Anolis sagrei: one gene and its partners. The protein of the gene in region 2 binds, or shares a complex with, the protein of the main gene of each other region. Links are inferred from orthologs where the notes say so. Each region holds a gene or a part of one and is shown on either strand. Other genes may lie near its edges.

Region 1 (7,946 bases), on a different chromosome or scaffold from region 2:
TGTCTAGATCTAGGGAAGTCATGCTACCCCTCTATTCCGCTTTGGTTAGACCACACCTGGAATATTGTGTCCAATTCTGGACGCCACAACTCAAGAGAGATATTGACAAGCTGGAATGTGTCCAGAGGAGGGAGACTAAAATGATCAAGGGTCTGGAGAACAAGCCCTATGGGGAGCGGCTTAAGGAGTTGGGCATGTTTAGCCTGAACAAGAGAAGGCTGAGGGGGAGATATGATAAAAAGGTAAATGTTGTCTGACTCTGGGGTGTGGTGCTCATCTCCATTTCTAAGCCGAAGAGCCAGCGTTGTCCATAGACACCTCCAAGGTCATGTGGCCAGCATGACCGCATGGAGCACCGTTACCTTCCCGCTGGAGCGGTACCTATTTATCTACCCACATTTGCATGTTTTCGAACTGCTAGGTTGGCAGAAGCTGAAGCTAACAGCAAGAGTTCACGCCGCTCCCTGGAATCGAACCTGCAACTTTTTGGTCAACAAGCTCAGCAGCTCAGTGCTTTAACCCACTGCGCCACCGGGGGTGGGTGGGGGGGTGGAGATATGATAGCCATGTATAAATATGTGAGAGGAAGTCATAAGGAGGAGGGAGCAAGCTTGTTTATTGCTTCCCTGGAGACTAGGACGCGGAACAATGGCTTCAAACTACAAGAAAGGAGATTCCGTCTGAACATGAGGAAGAACTTCCTGACTATGTATTGTCGAAGGCTTTCATGGCTGGAATCACTAGGTTCTTGTGGGTTTTTTCGGGCTATAGAGCCATGTTCTAGAGGCATTTCTCCTGACGTTTCGCCTGCATCTATGGCAAGCATCCTCACTACCTCTGAGGATGCTTGCCATAGATGTAGGCGAAACGTCAGGAGAAATGCCTCTAGAACATGGCTCTATGGCCCGAAAAAACCCACAAGAACCTAACTTCCTGACTGTGAGAGCCGTTCAGCAGTGGAACTCTCTGCTGCGGAGTGTGGTGGAGGCTCCTTCTTTGGAAGCTTTTAAACAGAGGCTGGATGGCCATCTGTCAAGGGTGATTTGAATGCAATATTCCTGCTTCTTGGCAAAATGGGGTTGGACTGGATGGCCCATGAGGTCTCTTCCAACTCTTTGATTCTATGATTCTATGAACGTTACATTTTTATTTATATAGATTATTATTATTATTATCTCAGGTCTGGGCAAACTTCGGCCCTCAGAGTGTTTTGGACTCATAAGCGACTGAGAGGGAAAAGGAAAGGGCCTGAGGCTGTTAGGAATGGTGGGAGTTGATCTGTTAATCCCACAAACGAATGGGGGGACGATGCCTGGCTCGAGAGCAGTATGAGGAGCGGCTGGAATATTGTGTCCAATTCTGGGCACCACAACTCAAGAGAGATATTGACAAGCTGGAATGTGTCCAGAGGAGGGAGACTAAAATGATCAAGGGTCTGGAGAACAAGCCTATGAGGAGTGGCTTAAGGAGTTGGGCATGTTTCGCATGAAGAAGAGAAGGCTGAGAGGGGATATGATAGCCATGTATAAATATGTGAGAGGAAGCCACAGGGAGGAGGGAGCAAGCTTGTTTTCTGCTTCCTTGGAGACTAGGATGCGGAACAATGGCTTCAAACTACAAGAAAGGAGATTCCATCTGAACATGAGGAAGAACTTCCTGTCTGTGAGAGCCGTTCAGCAGTGGAACTCTCTGCCCCAGAGTGTGGTGGAGGCTCCTTCTTTGGAAGCTTTTAAACAGAGGCTGGATGGCCATCTGTCAGGGGTGCTTTGAATGCAATATTCCTGCTTCTTAGCAGAATGGGGTTGGACTGGATGGCCCATGAGGTCTTTTCCAACTCTTTGAGTCTATAAGTAGTTTCTACTATAAGAACCGTTAAGCAGTGAAATAGATTGCCTCAGAAAGTGGTGGACTCTTTCTATTTGGAATAATTAAATCATAGGATCTTACAATTGGAAGGGACCACAAGGGCTATGCCAGTGCAACTCACTGCTGTGCAAGAATACATAACTATAGTGTGCCTAAAAGATGGCCATACCACCTCTGCTTAAAGACACCTGAAGATGAAAAGTCCATTGCTCTCCAAAGCAGCCTGTTTCCCTGTTGAACAGCTCTCATAATCACGAAGTTATTTCTAAAATTTAGGTAGAATTTCTTTCTTGGCAGAATGGGGTTGGACTGGATGGCCCATGAGTTCTCTTCGAACTCTGATTCTATGAACGTTACATTTTTATTTATATAATTATAATTACTATTATTATCTCAGGTCTGGGCAAACTTCGGCCCTCAGAGTGTTTTGGACTCATAAGCGGCTGAGAGGGAAAAGGAAAGGTCCTGAGGCTGTTAGGAATGGTGGGAGTTGAAGTCCAAAACACTCTCGGGGGCCGAAGTTTGCCCAAGCCTGCTCTCTCTGATATTATGAATCACAAGGCGATTCGAAGAGATATGAAAAAGGGAAGCAGGAAAGCGGCGGCGTCGTCACTGCGCGCGGAGGCCTAGGCCGCGGCCTCGCAGGCGAATCCCAGCGGGCCCCACCCTCCCTCTGGCGGCGGAGGAGGAGGAAGAAGGACGAGGCCGGCCGGCGGGTGAGGGAAACCAGGCCCCGCCGCGGATTATAAAGCCACAGGCCCTCACCAAGCAAGCAAGCCAAGCCCTCTCTCTTAACCCCCTCCTTCCCTCCTTCCCTCAGGAGAGAGCGGCGCTACTCTACCTCCAGGTCGCGGCCTTTGTTCTTGAAGTTCTTCAGCCGTTGGTTGTCCGCCTTTTCGTTGTCGGCCATGGCGGCAGGAAGGTAGGGAGCGAGGCCTTCCTCCCTCCCCGGCCGGGCCCCCGCTTCTCCTTCTCTGTCGTCGCCTTGCTTCGAAGGGGCCTTGAGGAGGCCTTGAGGCCTATCTTCGCCTCTTCCGCCTCTGGTGCCGGTAGAGCGAGAGAGAGGAAGGAAGGAAGGAAGGGAAGGAAGGAAGGGAAGCAGCGGCCCAGCCTCGCGCGCAGTCAGGCGCCCCTAGCCACGCCCCCTTGCCCCTTAGCCCCGCCTCTTCCCGCCCACAGCGCGCTCTGATTGGGCAGCGCTCCGTGATGGAGAGGGGCGAAGGGAGGGAGAGGTGCGCGTGAGCCGAGAGGGGGCGGGGCCTAAAGGGACTTCCTCTTCAGCCCGTCTCAGGCGATAGGCCTGGGCCGCCATTTTGGGCCAGTCGCCAAGGAGACCTCCTCGAAAGCTGCGCTCCCGTCTCGTTTAGGAAGGAAGGCCGGCCTTGTCCAACACCTACTCTCAGGAAGGTGGGATACGTACAGTTTAGTATAGTGTACCTCAGGCATGAGCTAACTTGGGCCCTCCAGGTGTTTTGGACTTCAACTCCCACAATTCCGGTAGGGTGTTCTACACTATAGAATTAATGCTATGGTATTCTTGTCTCCTGTGCTATGCTAATGTTATAATATAGTGTAATAAAATATATTGTATATGCATGTGCCGTTACGCCCAGACGCTTTAAAATAAAACTTTGACGTGCTGCTATCTATGTCTGGGCGAAACTGCTGGGGTCTTTTTTTGGGCAGATTGAGCTTTCTTGAATAACTGAGTCCACTTCAAGAAACATTAAACAGGGTATTTATTCACGAAGTCCTGGTAGACTTGGCTCAGCTTATCAATATTACAAAACAATCAATGAGTAATAAACTCAATCTATATTAACAATCAAGGTGAAAGAAGAAAGCGCAAAAGCTGGGTTGCAGCGAAACAAAAAAAACCAAGATTATGGCAACAAGAATGATTCACAACTGGAAAATAGAGGGAGAAAATGTGGAGGCCGTGACAGACTTTGTATTTCTAGGCGCAAAGATTACTGCAGATGCAGAGTGCAGCCAGGAAATCAGGAGACGCTTACTTCTTGGGAGGAGATCAATGTCCAGTCTCGATAAAATCGTAAAGAGCAGAGACATCAGACTGGCAACAAAGATCCGCCTAGTCAAAGCCATGGTATTCCCTGTAGTAACCTACGGATGTGAGAGCTGGACCTTAGGGAAGGCTGAGCGAAGGAAGATCGATGCTTTTGAGCTGTGGTGTTGGAGGAAAGTGCTGAGAGTGCCTTGGACTGCGAGAAGATCCAACCAGTCCATCCTCCAGGAAATAAAGCCCGGCTGCTCACTGGAGGGAAGGATACTAAAGACAAAGTTGAAGTACTTTGGCCGCATCATGAGGAGACAGCAAAGCCTAGAGAAGACAATTATGCTGGGGAAAGTGGAAGGCAAAAGGAAGAGGGGCCGACCAAGGGCAAGAAGGATGGATGGCATCCTTGAAGTGACTAGACTGACCTTGAAGGAGCTGGGGGTGGTGACGGCCGACAGGGAGCTCTGGCGTGGGCTGGTCCATGAGGTCACAAAGAGTCGGAGACAGATGACTGAACGAATGAACAACAACAACAACAATGTGTGAAAAAGATCTTGGAGTCCTCATGGACAACAAGTTAAACATGAACCAACAATGTGATGTGGCGGCAAAAAAAGCCAATCGGATTTTGACCTGCATCAATAGGAGTATAGTGTCTAGATCTAGGGAAGTAATGCTACTCCTCTATTGTGCCTTGTTTAGACCACACCTGCAATATTGTGTCCAATTCTGGGCACCACAATTGAAGAGAGATGTTGACAAGCAAATAAAATGATCAAGCGTCTGGAGAACAAGCCCTATGATGAGGAGTGGCTTAAGGAGTTGGTATGTTTAGCCTGAAGAAGAGAAGGCTGAGGGGAGATATGATGGCCATGTGTAAATATGTGAGAGGGAGTCATAGGAAGGAGGGAGCAAGCTTGTTTTCTGCTTCCCTGGAGACTAGGAACAATGGCTTCAAACTACAAGAGAGGAGATTCCATCTGAACATTAGGAAGGACTTCTTGACTGTAAGAGTTGTTCAGCAGTGGAACTCTCTGCCCTGGAGTGTGGTGGAGGCTCCTTCTTTGGAGGTTTTTAAACAGAGGCTGGATGGCCATCTGTCAGGGGTGCTTTGAATGCAGTATTCCTGCTTCTTGGCAGGGGGTTGGACTGGATGGCCCTTGAGGTTTCTTTCAACTCTATGATGCTATGATTCTAATAGTATAATGTAATACAAGATAATACTAATAATATGATATCATAATTGTATATTTTATATTACTAATAATATTACGATATAACGGTATAGTACAATATAGTAATATATAATACTGATATTGTTCTATGCTAATAATATAATATATTGTATGTATATTATATCTTGTAAGCCTCTCTAAGTTCCCATTGGGGTGAGAAGGCCGGCATATTAATGTCGTAAATAAATAAATATTCTGGGAATTGTAATTTAACGAGGTATTTAGCCATTTCTGCCAAATTATTTTGGTATCTCACTAAATTACAACTCTACAGATTCTTTTGCATTGAGACATGGTAATTCCTAACAATTCCTGTAGGCTGTTAGAAATTGTGGGAGTTGCAATTGCAAAATATCTGCAGGGCCCAAGTTTGCTCAGGCCTGGTATACAAAGTATAGTAGTATATATAGTACAATGTAATAATATATAATACTAATATTGTGCTGTGTTAATAATATATAATAATATATACATGTAATATTAAAAATCATGTAATGCAATATGTTGCTACTATTATTATTATTATTATTATTATTTCCGTCACTTTTACCCCGCCCTTCTCACCCCCGGGGGGGGGGACTCAGGGCGGCTTACAGAGGAAGGCACAATTCGATGCCTTTATCACACATACATACATATATAAACAAATCAAACAATTACAAATTAAGAGTTTAAAAATATCAATACACATTAATACAATAACACAGTAGTTGGTTAATCCTGAGTTCAGCGTTCGAAGTTTCATAAGTCCATTCCATACTAATAATACAGTATAATACTACTGATAATATACGGGGGGCTGCTGATAAGTCTTTGGCTTTGTCTTCTTCTTTTTGTTTCTATGGTAACAAATGTTACATCACATGAAAGCCTTATGTGTCTAATACATGTTTTCAAAATTTTGTGTTTGTAGCTTAATGCAACAGTGATGTAGGCATGCAGGAAAACAAAATGGCGGAGTCTAAGGTGATATTAACAGCAAATGAGAGCAGAGAAGTGATAAAATTCTTGTTTCTGCAAGGAAAGTCAGCAAAGGATATTCATGGTGATATGCTGCAGACATTGGGGGATCAATGCCCTTCATATTCTACAGTTAAGAACTGGGTTGCCAAATTTAAAACTGGCCACGTCAGCACCAATGATGAGAAACGTCCTGGACGACCGAGAGTGGTTGTTGTTCCAGCGATTGTCGATGCTGTTCACAACCTCATACTGGAGAATCGGCTAATTTCAGCTAAAGGAATAGCAGACATCATGGGGATTTCTCGTGAACGTGTTTGTGTCATTATCCATGAACATTTGAACATGAAGAAGCTATCTGCAATGTGGGTCCCAAAATGTTTGACAACAGATCAGAAAAACATGCGAGTGAAAACTTCTCGGTCCATTTGTCAGCGTTTCAGGACTGATGAGAACTTCCTGGATCAACTAGTCACTATGGATGAGACCTGGATTTATTTGTATGACCCTGAAACCAAGGAGCAGTCAAAAGAGTGTAGGCACAGTGGTTCTCCACGTCCAAAGAAGTTCAGGGTGCAAAAATCAGTCACAAAAGTGATGGTGTCTGTGTTCTGGGATAAGGAGGGCGTGCTGCTAGTGGACTACCTTCAAAATGGTTCCACCATCAATGCAAGGTATTACATTGAACTTTTGGACCAGTTGAAGGCAGCTCTGCAGGCCAAAAGGCGAGGCAAGCTGTTGAAAGGAATCTTGTTCCTGCAAGACAATGCCTCTGCTCACACTGCACAAGAGACCATGGCAAAACTGGTGGAGCTTGGCTTCCAGCTGGTTGACCACCCACCTGATTCACCGGATCTAGCTCCCTCTGACTATCATCTGTTTCCAAACCTGAAGAAACACATCCAGGGTACCAAATTTCACACCATTTCTGATGCCATGGCTGCTACGGATGACTGGTTTGAGGCACAACCAAAATCCTTCTTTTTGCAAGGCTTACAGAACTTGGAATACCGATGTAAGAAGTGTGTTGATATCAGTGGAGAGTATGTGGAATAAATGTAAAATTTCATCTTCCTATTTAGTTTCTGGGTAAAGCCAAAGAATTATTGGCAGCCTCTTGTATGATCATAATACTGTTTTATTATTCGTATTCTATTGCATTATAATATTATTGTATATTAGTAAATTTTAAATTGCAGGTATGTATAAACACCTACTTAATGGATTGGAGAATAGTTGTTCATACTGTTTCTTGAAAGATCATTGAGGTCATAAATTTTGCCTCAAAGGAAAAGCAATGTTAAGCTAGTGCTACCTATGTTAATCTGGACTGCCATCTTTAGAAGAAAAGATGAACTATTAGTAATATATATTTCAGCTCTTGAAAAGATGGGTGAATAGATGAGCTCCAACACTCCAGTCCTACGGGGCGTTCATTAAAGATGTGCCCTAACCCACTTCTATTTATCACAGGATGCTGAAACTGCACGTGTGTAATGATATAAGTCTCTATAGGTTACGTGCAGTTTACAACTCAGAACTGATAACAGTCTTGATTTTACAGGTGCTGAAATGGTGTGAGGTTGATAATCGACCCAGTGGAATACAGAGCAGTCATCAAGTTCCTTTACTTAAAAGGCCGCACACCAAAAGAGATGTTCAAAGAGATGAAAGAGGTTTATGGTGATGATTCCCCATCATATGATGAAGTTAAGAACTGGCATCGTCAGTTCAAATGTGGTCGGACTTCAGTGCAAACAGCTCCAATTCCAAGGTGACACTATGCTGTTGATGAACACAACATCCAACAAGTGGAGGTCCCCATTTCGGAAAATAGCTGTGTAACCATTTGCCACCTAGCCCAAAAT
Region 2 (7,627 bases):
AGTTATATTAGTCAGGTGGCCTGTTATATTCCCTGGACATCACTCACCACAGGACTTGAAAATAATAATAATAATAATAATAATAATAATAATAATACACCAGATAAGACTATTAAAACACCAAATCATATTAAAACACGACTCAATCAGGTGGCCTGTTATATTCCCTGGATATCACTCACTACAGGTCGTGGCAACAACAACAACAACAACAACATGAAAATAATATTAAAGCACCAGATAAGACTATTAAAACACCAAATCATATTAAAACACGACTCAATCAAGTGGCCTGTTACATTCCCTCCACATCTCTCACCACAGGACTTGGAAATAATAATAATGATATGAAAATAATATTAAAACACCAAATCACAATATTAAAACACAACTAAATCAGGTGGCCTGTTCTATTCCCTGGACATCACTCACTACAGGAGTTGGAAACAACAACAACAACAACAACAATACGAAAATAATATTAAAATATCAGATAAGAATACTAAAACACCAAATCATATTAAAAGACAACTCAATCAGGTGGCCTGTTATATTCCCTCTACATCACTCACCTCAGGACTTGGAAATAATAATAATAACAATAACAACAACAAAACAACAACAACAATAATAATAATAATAATAATAATAATAATAGGTAGGTAGAGGTAGTCCCCTGACATTAAGTCCAGTCATGTCTGACTCTGGGGTGTGGTGCTCATCTCCATTTCTAAGTCGAAGAGCCAGCGTTGTCCGTAGACACCTCCAAGGTCGTGTGGCCGGCATGACTGCATGGAGCGCCGTTACCTTCCCGCCGGAGCGGTACCTATTGATCTACTCACATTTGCATGTTTTCGAACTGCTAGGTTGGCAGAAGCTAGGGCTAACAGCGGAAGCTCACGCCGCTCCCTGGAATCGAACCTGTGACCTTTCGATCAACAAGCTCAGCAGCTCAGTGCTTTAACCCACTGCGCCACCAATAACAATACACCAAATCATAATATTAAAACACAACTTAATCTGGTGGCTTGTTATATTCCCTCCCACCTCAGGACTAGGAAATAATAATAATAATAATAATAATAATAATAATAATAATATGAAAATACAATTAAAATACCAGATAAGAATACTAAAACACCAAATAATATTTAAACACAACTCAATTGGGTGGCCTGTTATATTCCCTGGACATCACTGATCTCAGGACTTGGAAATAATAATAACAATATGTAAATAATACTGAAACACCAAATCATCATATTGAAAAACTTTTCAGTCAGGTAGCTTGTTGTATTTCCTGGATACCACTCACCACAGGACTTGGCAATAACAATAACAATATGAAATTAAATTAAAACACCATTTAAGAATACTAAAACACCAAATAATATTTAAGCATAATCAGGTGGCCTGCTATATTCCCTGGACATCACTTGCTACGGGGCTTTGAAATAATAATAATAATAATAATAATAATAATAATAATAATAATACACCAAATCATAATATATAACACAACTTAATCTGGTGGCTTGTTATATTCCCTCCGCATCACTCACCTCGGGACTTGGAAGAAATAATAATAATAATAATAATAATATGAAAATATGATTAAAACACCAAGTAATATCAAAACACAATCAGGTGGTCTGTTATATTCCCTGGACATCACTCACTACAGGGCTTCGAAATAATAACAATAATAATAACAATAATATGAAAATACTATTAAAACACCAGGAAAGAATACTAAAACACCAAATAATATCAAAACACAATCAGGTGTCTTGTTATATTCCCTGGACATCACTAATCTCAGGACTTGGCAACAATAGTAATAATAATAATAAGAAGAAGAAAATAATAATATTAAAACACCAGATAAGAATGCTAAAACATCACTAATCTCAGGACCTGGCAACAATAGTAATAATAATAATAATAATAATAATAATAATAATATGAAAATAATATTAAAACACCAGATAAGAATGCTAAATCATCACTAATCTCAGGACCTGGCAACAATAGTAATAATAATAATAATAATAATAATAATAATAATATGAAAATAATATTAAAACCCCAGATAAGAATGCTAAATCATCACTAATCTCAGGACTTGGAAATAACAATAACAATATAATATTGTTATACCAAAAACTAATATTAAAAGACAACTCAGTCAGGTGTCCTGTTATATTCCCTCCACATCACTCACCCCAGGACTTGGAAATAATAATAATAATAAGAAGAATATGAAAATTAAATCACTATATAAGAATACTAAAACACCAAATAATATTAAAGGACAACTCAGTCAGGTGTCCTGTTATATTCCCTGGACATCACTAATCTCAGGACTTGGGAACAACAACAACAACAACAATAATAATAGGATGAAGAAAATAATAATATTAAAACACCAGATAAGAATGCTAAAAATCTCTAATCTCAGGACTTGGAAATAACAATAACAATATAATATTGACACACCAAATCATAATATTCAAACACAACTCAGTCAGGTGGCCTGTTGTATTCCCTCCACTTCACTCACCTCAGGACTTGGAAATAATAATAACAATATGTAAATAATACTGAAACACCAAGTCATCACATTCAAACACTATCCAGTCAGGTGGCCTGTTGTGTTCCCTGGGCATCACTCACCTCAGGACTTGGAAATGGTCTTCTTGAACCTCAGGATAGTCCTGGTTTGAAGGGAAAGAGGGAGAGAAGTCCTGGTGGGCTCAAAAAGAACAAATCCAGAAGAGCCTGAAGGAGGAGGAGGCGCCTCGAGGAGTGAGAGAGAGAGAGAGAGTGTGTGAGGGAGAGATTGGAGCAGGCCGGCCCCGCTGCTTCGGGCTTGGTCGTTGGTGTGAAAGCGAAATGAAAGGAGAGAGGAGGAGAGGAAGGAGGCAGGCAGGCGACTCCCGCCAAGCGCGGCCTCCTCCTCCTCCTCCCTCCGCGGAAGAAACACGCAGCCTCCCCTCCTCCCTCCACGCCCTCTCACTTCCTCGCTGGAAATTCCCACTGACGTTGCTGAGAAAAGGAAGGAAGGAAGACAGAAAGGAAAGAAAGAAAGAAAGAAAGAAAGAAGGCCTCAAAAGTGCTTGCTCTCCTCCCTCAGGCCTTCCTTCATTCAGGCCTTAGAATTATAGAATCAAAGAGTTGGAAGAGATCTCATGGGCCATCCAGTCCAACTCCCTGCCAAGAAGCAGGAATATTGCATTCAAAGCACTCCTGACAGATGGCCATCCAGCCTCTGTTTAAAAGCTTCCAAAGAAGGAGCCTCCACCACACTCCGGGGCAGAGAGTTCCACTCCTGAACGGCTTTCACACTCGTGTTCAGATGGAATCTCCTCTCATAGAATCATAGAATCAAAGAGTTGGAAGAGACCTCATGGGCCATCCAGTCCAACCCCATTCTGCCAAGAAGCAGGAATATTGCATTCAAATCACCCCTGACAGATGGCCATCCAGCCACTGTTTAAAAGCTTCCAAAGAAGATGCCTCCACCACACTCCAGGGCAGAGAGTTCCACTCCTGAACGGTTCTCACACTCGTGTTCAGATGGAATCTCCTCTCTTGTAGTTTGAAGCCATTCTTCCGCGTCCTAGTCTCCAAGGAAGCAGAAAAAAAGCTTGCTCCCTCCCTGTGGCTTCCTCTCACATATTTATACATGGCTATCATGTCTCCTCTCAGCCTTCTCTTCTTCAGGCTAAACATGCCCAGCTCCTTAAGCCGCTCCTCATAGGGCTTGTTCTCCAGACCCTTGATCATTTTAGTCACCCTCCTCTGGACACATTCCAGCTTGTCAATATCTCTCTTGAATTGTGGTGCCCAGAATTGGACACAATATTCCAGGTGTGGTCTAACCAAGGCAGAATAGAGCATGGGGAGCATTACTTCCCTAGATCTAGACACTATGCTCCTATTGATGCAGGCCAAAATCCCATTGGCTATTTTTGCCGCCACATCACATTGTTGGCTCATGTTTAACTTGTTGTCCACGAGGACTCCAAGATCTTTTTCACATGTACTGCTCTCAAGCCAGGCATTGTCCCCCATTCTGTATCTTTGCATTTCGTTTTTCCTGCCAAAGTGGAGTATCTTACATTTGTCACTGTTGAACTTCATTTTGTTAGTTTTGGCCCATCTCTCTAATCTGTCAAGATCGTTTTGAATCCTGCTCCTGTCCTCTGGACTATTGGCTATCCGTCCCAATTTGGTGTCGTCTGCCCTTCATCTAAGTCTAAGAGCTTTCTACGTTCTCGCTTTGGATCCACTTGGACTGGGATTTGTAGTTTGGTGAGGTACCACCAGCACCCTTTGGCAGAGAAGGCTTGTGAAGCTACAACTCCCATGATGACACAGAATAATAAAGTTGGAAGTGACCACACTCTGCCATGAAGTCCAACACTCTGCCATGAAGGAAAAGCACAATCAAAGCACCCCCGACAGATGGCCATCTAGCTTCTCACTACCTCTAAGGATGCTTGCTGTAGATGCAGGTGAAACGTCAGGAGAGAATGCGTCTAGAACAGTGTTTCTCAACCTGGGGGTCGGGACCCCTGGGGGGGTCGCGAGGGCGTGTCAAGCGGGTCGCCAAAGACCATCAGGAAACACAGTATTTTCTGTTGATCATGGGAGTTCTGTGTGCCAAGTCCACAGGGCACTCTGGATATAGGTAAACTACAACTCCAAAACTCAATGTCAGTGCCTACCAAACCCTTCCAGTATTTTCTATTGGTCATGGGAGTTCTGTGAGCCAAGGGTTCTGTGTGGGAAGTATGGCCCAATTCTATTGTCAGTGGGGTTCAGAATGCTCTTTGATTGTACGTGAACTATAAATCCCAGCAACGACAACACACCAAATGTCAAGGTCTTTCCCCCCAAACTCCACCAGTGTTCACATTTGGGCATAATGAGTATTCGTGCCAAGTTTGGTCCTGATCTATCATTGTTTGAGTCCACAGTGCTCTCTGGATGTAGATGAACTACAACTCAAAAACTCAACGTCAGTGCCCACCAAACCCCTCCAGTATTTTCTGTTGGTCATGGGAGTTCTGTGTGCCAAGTTGGGTTCAATTCCATCATTGGTGGAGTTCAGAATGCTCTTTGATTGTACGTGAACTATAAATCCCAGCAATGACAACACGCCAAATGTCAAGGTCTTTCCCCCCAAACTCCACCAGTGTTCACATTTGGGCATATTGTGCCAAATTTGGTCCAGACCCATCATTGTTTGAGTCCACAGTGCACTCTGGATATAGGTAAACTACAACTCCAAAACTCAACGTCAGTGCCCACCAAACCCCTCCAGTATTTTCTATTGGTCATGGGAGTTCTGTGAGCCAAGTTGGGTTCAATTCCATCATTGGTGGAGGTCAGAATGCTCTTTGATTGTAGGTGAACTATAAATCCCAGCATCTACAACTTCCAAATGACAAAATCAACCCCCGCGCCCTTCCAACCCCATCATTATTCAAATGTGGGCGTATCTGATATTTGTGCCAAATTAGGTCCAGTGAATGAAAATACATCCTGCATATCAGATATTTACATTATGATTCATAACTAGCAAAATTACAGTTATGACATAGCAACAAAAAAAATTATGGTTGGAGGTCACCACAACATGAAGAACTATATTAAGGGGTCGCAGCATTAGGAAGGTTGAGAAACACTGCTCTAGAACATGGCCATATAGCCTGAAAAAACCTACAACAACCCATCTAGCTTTTGTTTAAAAGCCTCCAAAGAAGGTGCCTTCACTACTCCCCAGGGCAGAGTGTTCCACTGCTGAACAGCTCTCACAATTAGGAAGTTCTTCCTAATGTTCAGGTGGAATTTCTTTTTCCTGTAGTTTGAAGCCACTGTTCCGTGTCCTAGCCTCCAGGGATCCGGCTGTGGCGCAACTAATTAATAGCCAGCTGCATTAAATCACTACTGACCAAATGTCATGAGTTCAAATCCAGCCCGGGTCAAAGTGAACTCCTTACCATTAATAGTCTAGCTTGCTGTTGACCTATGCAGCCCAAAAGACAGTTGCATCTGTCAAGTATGTCCGAGGATGTGGACATGGTGCTTGGAGGAATGAGAGCTACCACATGCATCCTAGACCCCTGCCCATCCTGGCTTCTGAAGGAGGCCAGAGGGGGATTGGCCGAGTGGGTGAAGGTGGTGGTTAATGCCTCCCTTCGGGAAGGCATATTTCCAGCCAGCTTAAAGCAAGCTGTGATAAAACCGCTGTTGAAGAAACCATCACTGGACCCCACTCAATTCGTCAACTATCGGCCTGTTTCCAATCTCCCCTTTTTGGGCAAAGTAATGGAACGTGTGGTGGCCTCACAACTCCAGGCATTCTTGGTAGACACGGATTATCTGGATCCGGCACAGTCTGGCTTCAGGCCGGGGCATGGTACCGAGACAGCTTTGGTCGCCTTAGTCGATGATCTGCGCCGGGAGCTCGACAGGGGGAGTGTGTCCCTGTTGGTGCTGCTGGACCTCTCAGCGGCCTTCGATACCGTCGACCACGGTATCCTTCTGGGACGCCTCGCGGGAATGGGTCTTGGAGGTACTGTTCTACAGTGGCTCCGCTCATTCCTCGAGGGTCGGTCTCAGAAGGTGTTACTGGGGGACTCCTGCTCAACCCCACAACCTTTGTCTTGTGGGGTTCCTCAGGGTTCAATATTGTCTCCCATGTTGTTCAACATCTACATGAAGCCGCTGGGTGAGATCATCCGGAGTTTCGGGGTGCGATGTCATTTGTACGCAGATGATGTCCAACTCTGTCACTCCTTTCCACCTGTCACTAAGGAGGCTGTCGAGGTCCTGAACCGGTGCTTGGCCGCTGTGACGGTCTGGATGGGGGCGAACAAATTGAAATTGAATCCAGACAAGACAGAGGTACTCCTGGTCAGTCGCAAGGCCGAACAGGGTATAGGGTTACAGCCTGTGTTGGATGGGGTCGCACTCCCCCTGAAGACGCAGGTTCGCAGTTTGGGTGTGATCCTGGACTCATCGCTGAGCCTGGAACCCCAGGTTTCGGCGGTGACCAGGGGAGCATTCGCACAGTTAAAACTCGTGCGCCAACTGCGCCTGTACCTTGGGAAGTCTGACTTGGCCACGGTAGTCCACGCTCTGGTTACATCCCGTTTAGACTACTGCAACGCTCTCTACGTGGGGTTGCCTTTGAAGACGGCTCGGAAGCTCCAATTAGTCCAACGGTCGGCAGCCATGATACTAACAGGAGCGGAGCACAGGGAGCACACAACTCCTCTGCTGCACCAGCTCCACTGGCTGCCGATTTGCTACCGGGCTCAATTCAAAGTGCTGGCGTTGGCCTTTAAAGCCCTAAACGGTTCTGGCCCAACCTACCTATCCGAACGTATCTCGGCCTATCAGCCCACCAGGACCCTAAGATCTTCTGGGGAGGCCTTGCTCTCTATCCCGCCTGCTTCACAGGTGCGGCTGGCGGGGACGGGAGACAGGGCCTTTTCTGTGGTGGCCCCTCGGCTCTGGAACGCCCTTCCCATGGAGGTAAGATCAGTCTCCTCGCTGATGGTATTCCGAAGAAGACTAAAAACTTGGATGTTCAAGCAGGCATTTGGCTAAT
Region 3 (7,195 bases), on a different chromosome or scaffold from region 2:
ACACACAAACATCATGGGGGTATTCACTCTTCCCTATGTGATCCAAAGCAAAAACATATATATTTTTGTCTGGAGCTACAATTGGACAATGTACCTGTTCCAATACAAATTCAACTTAAAGACAAATCTTGTTCATAATGTGGATAATGCCTATACATCTGAACTTACAATAAGGAACGAGGACTTATATGCTGAACAACAGAAACAAAAGAAAGCTAGTTTTACATTAGGAAGTAATCAGCAAGACATTCCAGGCTGATAAACCCCAGCGAATGGAAGAGAGGTTCCCCGGACAGCTGGGAATGTCTATAAGGGAGACTGGGAAGCTTGCTTAGCAAGGAAGCCCGTGTGCCAGGTTATTGCAGTGATCATTTCATTTCCTTTGCTGCAAATGTTGCTGCTGCTTCTTTCCCTGCTCTTCGGCCATTTCCCTCCTCCCCCTTTCCCTCTCTCATTGGAGAGCAACAGAGCGGAGATCTCCACCCGCCTCCACTCCATTTGGCGGGCACTGCACCCCTTTGCGCAGCCATTAAAGCCTGCTGCAAAACAGCGGAGGAGAAGACTCAAAACAAGAGGCAGTTCACCTGGGCACAAATTTGGAAAAAGAAAACAAATACTATCTACAACACTGATACCAAAAGGAGTCAGTTGCCGAAGGGAAAAGCCAGCTCTGGGTGTACGCACATTGGAGAATGAATACAATTCGACACCACTTTAAGGGCCACAGCTCAGTGCTATGTAATCCTGACCTTTGGAGTTGGGTGAGGCACCAACACTCTTGAGCAGTCAAGCCGTCATCAAACTATAACTCCCAAGATTCCATAGAATTGAGGCATGGCAGCTAAAGTAGCACCAAACTGCATTCATTCTACAGAGCAGATGCATCCGCTGAAACATGGACTAACTATGCCACAAGTTTGGATAGTTTAAGGCCAGTATCTCATACCAATTTATCTGTAAGGAAGTCCCGGCTAACATGTGAATGCGTATAATCTTAAACGTTAGGTCGATGGTTTTCTAAGTCCCAGCTTGATAGCCAATGTGGCTATTACTCCAGAGGCCAGGGTTCGAATCCTCACTCGGCCAAAAAAAACCCTGGGTAGCCTTGGGCCAGCCACACTCTCTCAGCCACAGAGGGAAGGCAATGGCAAACCCTTTGCATGCAAATTTTACCAAGAACAACCTGTTAGAGGCCATAAGTTAGAAAAAGAAGTCCTAGCTTACTTGTGAGTAGAAACAGGATCCCACAGAAACTTGCTGTACAAGTCACACTCTCGGAGGGTCACACAGCCCTATATCCCAGAATATCAAGGCAGAAAATCCCACATTATCTGAGCATGGACTCAGATAACCCAGTTCAAAGCAGGTATTGTGGAATGTTCTGCCTTGATGTTCTGGGATATGGGGTTGTGTGGAAGGGCCCCCAGCGTCAGAGGAAGGCAATGGCAAAACCTCTTCTGAACACATCTTGCTAAGGAAGCCCTGTGATAGTGTGGCTTTTGGGGTTGCTGTGTTTTCTGGGCTGTATGGCCATGTTCCAGAAGCATTCCCTCCTGACATTTTGCCCACATCTATGGCAGGCATCCTCAGAGGTTGTGAGGGCTGTTGGAAACTGGGCAAGTGGGGTTTATGTAATAGACCATAAGTCAGGGCCCTTCCACGCAGCCCTATATCCCAGAATATCAAGGCAGAAAATCCCACAATATCTGCTTTGAACTGGGTTATCTGAGTCCACACTCAGATAATGTGGGATTTCCTGCCTTGATATTCTGAGATATAGGACTGAGTGGAAGGGCTCTTAGAAACAGCAAACAGAAGTTCTAGCTTACTTCTGAGTAGAAACAGGATCCCATTGATACTGACTGGACAAGTCACCATCTCCCGCTTCAGGGGAAGGCAATGGCAAAAAGTGTGGCTTTTTGTTTGCCGTACGCCAGAAATGACTTGTAGGGACACAACAACTGAAGTCCCACCTTAAGACATAGGATCCCACGGAAGTCAGCTATACTTCCCTTGCAGCAAACTGCACTGAGGAGCTCAAGTTGCCATGTTTCAGCATTTAAAAAAAGCAGAGAGATGGCATCCCTTTGAGATGCATCATTTTATTCCAGGAGTTTCAGCAGGTTAGTAAAACATGCCTGAAACTTGTGTGTCCACAGCCATATAGCCCAGAATATCAAGGCAGAATGACCCACAATTGGGTTATCTGAGTCCACACTGCCATATATCCCAGTTCAAAGCAAATAATGTGGGATTATATTCAGCTGTGTGGAAGGGGCCTAAGTTTCCTACCTAACCAAAAAGTACACAATTCTGCTTCTTCTAATATTAGAGTGCATGCATGCATGAATTGTAAATGGAGTCCAAAATTAATACACACACACACAAACATACAAATATATAAATTTTTATTTGGGCAATTCAAATCTCATTTTAGTTTGGGCCATTAATCAGTAATGCTAAGGAGGACGACCCAGTTTTGGCAACCTGCCCCTTGCCCACTTGAATAGTATCAAAACCTAAATGTGGCAATAATAATAAAAAGGCATAACTGCTGGGAAGTGCTTTTTTTCCAAATGGAGAAAACCTGGGGTGGAGGCAAGGAGGAGCCTGATGGGCAGAAGACAAACCATGCAGGGGAGAGGGAGGGAGGGAGGCATCAATGCTGATGCAACAGGGCTGCAGGAGCACAGCACACCAAAGCCCATGCTCCCTAGGCTGCCTCAGCCCTATGGGAATGGCCAGCCTTTGCACCAGAGGCGCCCACTCCGCCCAGCTGCAGCAAACAAGGCGAAGGCGATGTTCCCCCAATGCTGGGAATCCTCCCGAAAATGCCCGGATGCGCCGCGTTCGAAGCCTGCTCGAGGCCTGAGGGCCTTACCAGGCTCCCGATGACTTTCACCATCTTGGCGGCAGCAGCAGCAGCCTCTTCCTTCGCCTCTTTCGACTCCTTCTTCGGCGGCTCCGGCGGCTCTTTGCTGGGTCCCGGGTCAGGCTCCGGCTCCGGCTTCGACTCCTCGGTGGCTGCTTTCGGGCTCTCATTGGCGCCGCCTTCCTTCATCTTCTTATATGGACGGGAGGCCCCTCTTTGGGAGGGAGGTTGCTTCTGCGCAGGCGCAAGGGAAAGGGAAGCCCAGGGTGGAGGGGCGCATGCGCAAACCAGGACCTCCTTCTCCCCCCTCCCTGTTTTGGAAGGGGCGGGGCTTCTGGGCCAGCCTTGGAAATGGACAGAGTGGGAAGCATGATGCAGAAAATACAATCCTTTCCCAGTATTGATTGAGGCAGGGAAACAAGGACAGCAAAACCCTGCGTGGATGGATTGCATTGAGGAATGTCCAGGGTGGGAAAAAGAGCTCTTGTCTGCTTGAAGTAAGGGTGGGGCCAGCTGTCACCTCACAACAAAAGATTCCCCTGGGCAGGAAGCAGCCAGGCTTTGAAGCTGCAAGGCCATTAAATGCTAATCAAGGTAGCCAACTGCAACATGCACACTTGCCTCAAGCAGACAAGAGTTCTTTCTCCCGCCCTGGACATTCCACAGATATATAAACCTCACTTGCCTAGTTTCCAACAGACCTCACAACCTCTGAGGGTGCCTGCCCTAGATGTGGGTGAAACGTCAGGAGAGAATGCTTCAGGAACATGGCCATACAAATACAATGATCTTTGTATTGTCGAAGGCTTTCATGGCCGGAATCACTGGGTTGTTGTAGGTTTTTTCAGGCTATATGGCCATGGTTTAGAGGCAATCTCTCCTGACATTTCGCCTGCATCTATGGCAAGCATCCTCAGAGGTAGTGAGATCTGTTGGAACTAGGAAAAAGGGTTTATGCCTCTAGACCAGACATCTTCAAATTTCAAGCTGTTTGGGCCTTCAACTCCCAGAATTCCTGACAACTGAACAAGCTTGTTAGGGCTTCTGGGAGTTGGAGGTCCAAACAGCTGGAGGGCCGCAGTTTGAGGATGCCTGCTCTAGATCATGGCCATATAGCCCAAAAAACCCTACAACACCACAATGATCTTTGTTTTGTTTCCTGCAGCAGAGATGGGCAGGAAAACAGGATTGTGATTGGATGGTTGTAAATCTAAATGATGTGGCCCTCCATGTTTCTGAATAAATATCACATTGGGTTTCTGTAAATTTTCCAGGCTATATGGCCATGTTCCAGAAGCATTCTCTCCTGACGTTTCACCCACATCCATGGCAGGCATCCCCAGAGGTTGTGGGAAAAAGAACTCTTGCCTGCTTGAGGCAAGTGTGCAATTGGCTTCCTTCCTTAGCATTGAATAGCCTTGCAGTGTCAAAGCCTGGCTGCTTCCTGACTGGAGGAATCCTTTGTTATGAGGTATTAGCTGGTCCCAGGATTTAAAGCAACATACACACTTGCCTCCAAAAGACAAGAATTCTTTCTGCCACCCTTGACATTCCACAGATATATAAACTCCACTTGTCTAGTTTCCAACAAACTTCTGAGGATACATGCTATATATGTGGGGGAAGCGTCAGAGGAGAATTCTACTGGTACATGGTCATACAGCCCGGTAAACTCACAACAGCCCAGTGATTCTGGCCATGAAAGCCTTCAAAAACAAATATATCACATTATATTATTATTATTATTAATATTATTATTATTATTATTATTATACTAGGCTCTTAGTTAACTGGCAGGAGCCCTCGGTGGTGCAGTGGGCTAAATCCTTGTGCTGGCAGGACTGAAGACCAACAGGTAGGAGGTTTGAATCTGGAGAGAGCATGGATGAGCTCCCTCTGCCAGCTCCAGCTCCCCATGTGGGGACATGAGAGAAGCCTCCCACAAGGATGATAAAACATCAAAACATCCAGGCATCCTCTGGGCAACATCCTTGCAGACAGTCAATTCTCTCACACCTGAGACAAAAAGAAAAGTTAACTGGCACCTATGATGCAGATAAATGCAGTTTCTGGTTGCTTGAGAGTTACTGTTAAAATAGGTTTAAAATTGATTTTATATGACTGGCAGCACAATTAGTGGCAGCATGATTAGCATAATGCCAAGTTTGTAACTTTGTGTTTTTTTATTCATTATAACTATATTCTCTATTTGCTTCTGACATGATAAATAAATAGCACGATAAGTATAATAATGCTGCAAGTCACTTCTGGTGTAAGAGAACCAGCCATCTACAAAGATGTCCAGGGGACACCCAGATCTGTTACTATCCTGCGGGGAGGCTTCTCTCATCTGTTTGGATATCAACCAGCAAGCCAATGCCTTAAAACAAGAAATAGTTTCCTAAGATCTACAGAGATACTTGCAGGAACACCTCAGCAAGCAAGAGTCCAAAAGTGGCAGGCAAAAACCTGGAATCTCACTCAATGGCTGATACCAAACAAGAGACTCCCCTCTGGGCACACGAGACTGGGTGACTTGGAAGGCACTGAACAGACTGCGCTCTGTCACTATGAAATGCAGAGGCAACCTTAAGAAATGGAGTGGAGTGGAGTCTATGGCATGCGAGTGTGGACAAGAGCAAACTACAGATCATTTACTACAATGTGGCCTGAGCCTTGCCACATGCACAATGGAGGACCTTCTTACAGCCACACCGGAAGCATTTGAAGTGGCCAGCTTCTGGTCAAAGTAAGTTTATATGGATTATAACTGTATTCTCAATTTGCTTCTGACACAATAAATAAATAAAAGTGTAGTAGTAGTAGTAGTAGTAGTAGTAATAATAATAATATAGAACTGCAAAGACTCTGGCACAAGCCAGTAAAGTTGGTATCAGTGGTAATTGGCACACTTGGCGCAGTGCCTAAAGACCTTGGCCTGCACTTTTGCAGCTGACAGAATTACCATCTGTCAGCTGCAAAAGGCCACCCTATTCTGATCTGTACACATCATTTGCCGATACATCACACAGTCCTAGACAATTGGGAAGTGTCTGATGTGTGATCAAATGCAAAAGCCAGCATAGTAATCTTGTTTGCTGTGTACTAATATTCTTATGTATCAAATAATAATAATAATGATCTTTATTTGTATCTCACCCCATCTCCTGATAGGTGACTCAGAACAGCTAATGTCACAAAAGGCAAGTGTTCATTTTTTTTTTTTTGGTGTCAAAAGCTACTTGAGAAACTGCAAGTCGCTTCTGATGTGAGAGAACTGGCCATCTGCAATGCCCAGGGGATGCCCGGATCTTTTGATGTTTTACCATCCTTGTGGGAGGCTTCTCTCATGTCCCTGCATGGGGAGCTGGAGCTGACAGAGGGAGCTCATCTGCACTCTTCCTGGATTCAAACCTCCAACCTATCGGGCCTCAGTCCTGCTGGCACAAGGGTTTAACCCATTGTGCCACCAGGGCCTCCCAAGTATTCAATGCCAACAAATAAATAAATACATGCATACATAATTTAATAAAACATGTAAAAAACACAACAGGATTTCAATCATTTAAAAATCGTAATTAAACAATACAACACAGTACTACACTGAGCAGTGCAAATGATACAGTATTAAAAGCCATATTCCAAATCCGTTCCCTATTTCTTAAAACCTTAACCCTCTGCTTCTCTGTATGCTTGGGTGCACAGAAACATTTTTAGCTGCGTTTTGAAGGAGGGCAACAAGGGGGGCATTTAGATTTCCTTCGGAAGGGAATTCCAGAGGCAGGGGGCAATATATGTTTTCAAGTTTAAAATCACTTGATTTAGGCTACTTTGTGCTCATGACTAAGACACATTGTATTCGACAGAGTTTACTTCCAGCTAAGTGAATAAAGAATAACAAGTTTATCCCTAAATCGAATTCCTCATCCCAATGCGAGCAGGCCCATTTGATCAATTAGATTTGGATAGCAATTGAAAACGACTCATAATGGATTCAGGGCAGTGGTTTTTGAGGTTGTTAATAAACTGAATTTTCCTCGGTCCTAGGACCCAAGGTGGATATGGCTCATCTATATAAGTATAAATGTCAAAATCAAAGTAAATCAATAGAATTAAAAGCAAATATAGACACAGTACCACAGCAATGAAGGCCCTTTCCCATGAACAATCAGTCCTTTCAGGCCAGAAACAAAAATGTTGAAAAGTCATTAGAGCCGTGATTCTCAAACGGTGGGTCCCCAGATGTTTTGGCCTTCAACTCCCAGAAATACTAACAGCTGGTAAACTGGCTGAGATTTCTGGGAGTTGGCCAAAACACCTGAG

The links.
Region 1: the proteins of NFKB1 (region 2) and KPNA4 are in contact, whole or in part, in a crystal structure (PDB 7LFC), measured with the Homo sapiens proteins. The link is inferred for Anolis sagrei from reciprocal best matches to the Homo sapiens genes NFKB1 and KPNA4. Residues at the interface, in NP_001158884.1 of Homo sapiens: Glu357, Glu358, Val359, Gln360, Arg361, Lys362, Arg363, Gln364, Lys365, Leu366, Met367; in NP_002259.1 of Homo sapiens: Arg96, Lys97, Leu99, Ser100, Ser101, Asp102, Arg103, Pro105, Phe133, Trp137, Thr140, Asn141, Ala143, Ser144, Gly145, Thr146, Ser147, Thr150, Gln176, Trp179, Gly182, Asn183, Gly186, Asp187, Asn219, Trp222, Val225, Asn226, Arg229, His230.
Region 3: the proteins of NFKB1 (region 2) and thioredoxin-like are in contact, whole or in part, in an NMR structure (PDB 1MDI), measured with the Homo sapiens proteins. The link is inferred for Anolis sagrei from reciprocal best matches to the Homo sapiens genes NFKB1 and TXN. Residues at the interface, in NP_001158884.1 of Homo sapiens: Arg56, Phe57, Arg58, Tyr59, Val60, Cys61, Glu62, Gly63, Pro64; in NP_003320.2 of Homo sapiens: Thr30, Trp31, Cys32, Pro34, Met37, Ile38, Asp58, Val59, Asp60, Asp61, Gln63, Ala66, Ser67, Val71, Lys72, Pro75, Ser90, Gly91, Ala92.

Annotation. Positions count from the first base shown.
Region 1 is NC_090023.1:246,815,189-246,823,134, forward strand, and holds the start of KPNA4 (importin subunit alpha-3), read right to left. Parts: upstream 3,017-7,946; 5' UTR 2,777-3,016; coding exon 2,708-2,776; intron 1-2,707. UniProt on the Homo sapiens protein: Functions in nuclear protein import as an adapter protein for nuclear receptor KPNB1. Binds specifically and directly to substrates containing either a simple or bipartite NLS motif.
Region 2 is NC_090025.1:27,556,159-27,563,785, reverse strand, and holds the start of NFKB1 (nuclear factor NF-kappa-B p105 subunit), read right to left. Parts: upstream 3,013-7,627; 5' UTR 2,677-3,012; intron 589-2,676; exon of another isoform or gene 573-588; intron 1-572.
Region 3 is NC_090022.1:206,155,140-206,162,334, reverse strand, and holds the start of thioredoxin-like, read right to left. Parts: upstream 3,098-7,195; 5' UTR 3,062-3,097; coding exon 2,882-3,061; intron 1-2,881. UniProt on the Homo sapiens protein: Participates in various redox reactions through the reversible oxidation of its active center dithiol to a disulfide and catalyzes dithiol-disulfide exchange reactions.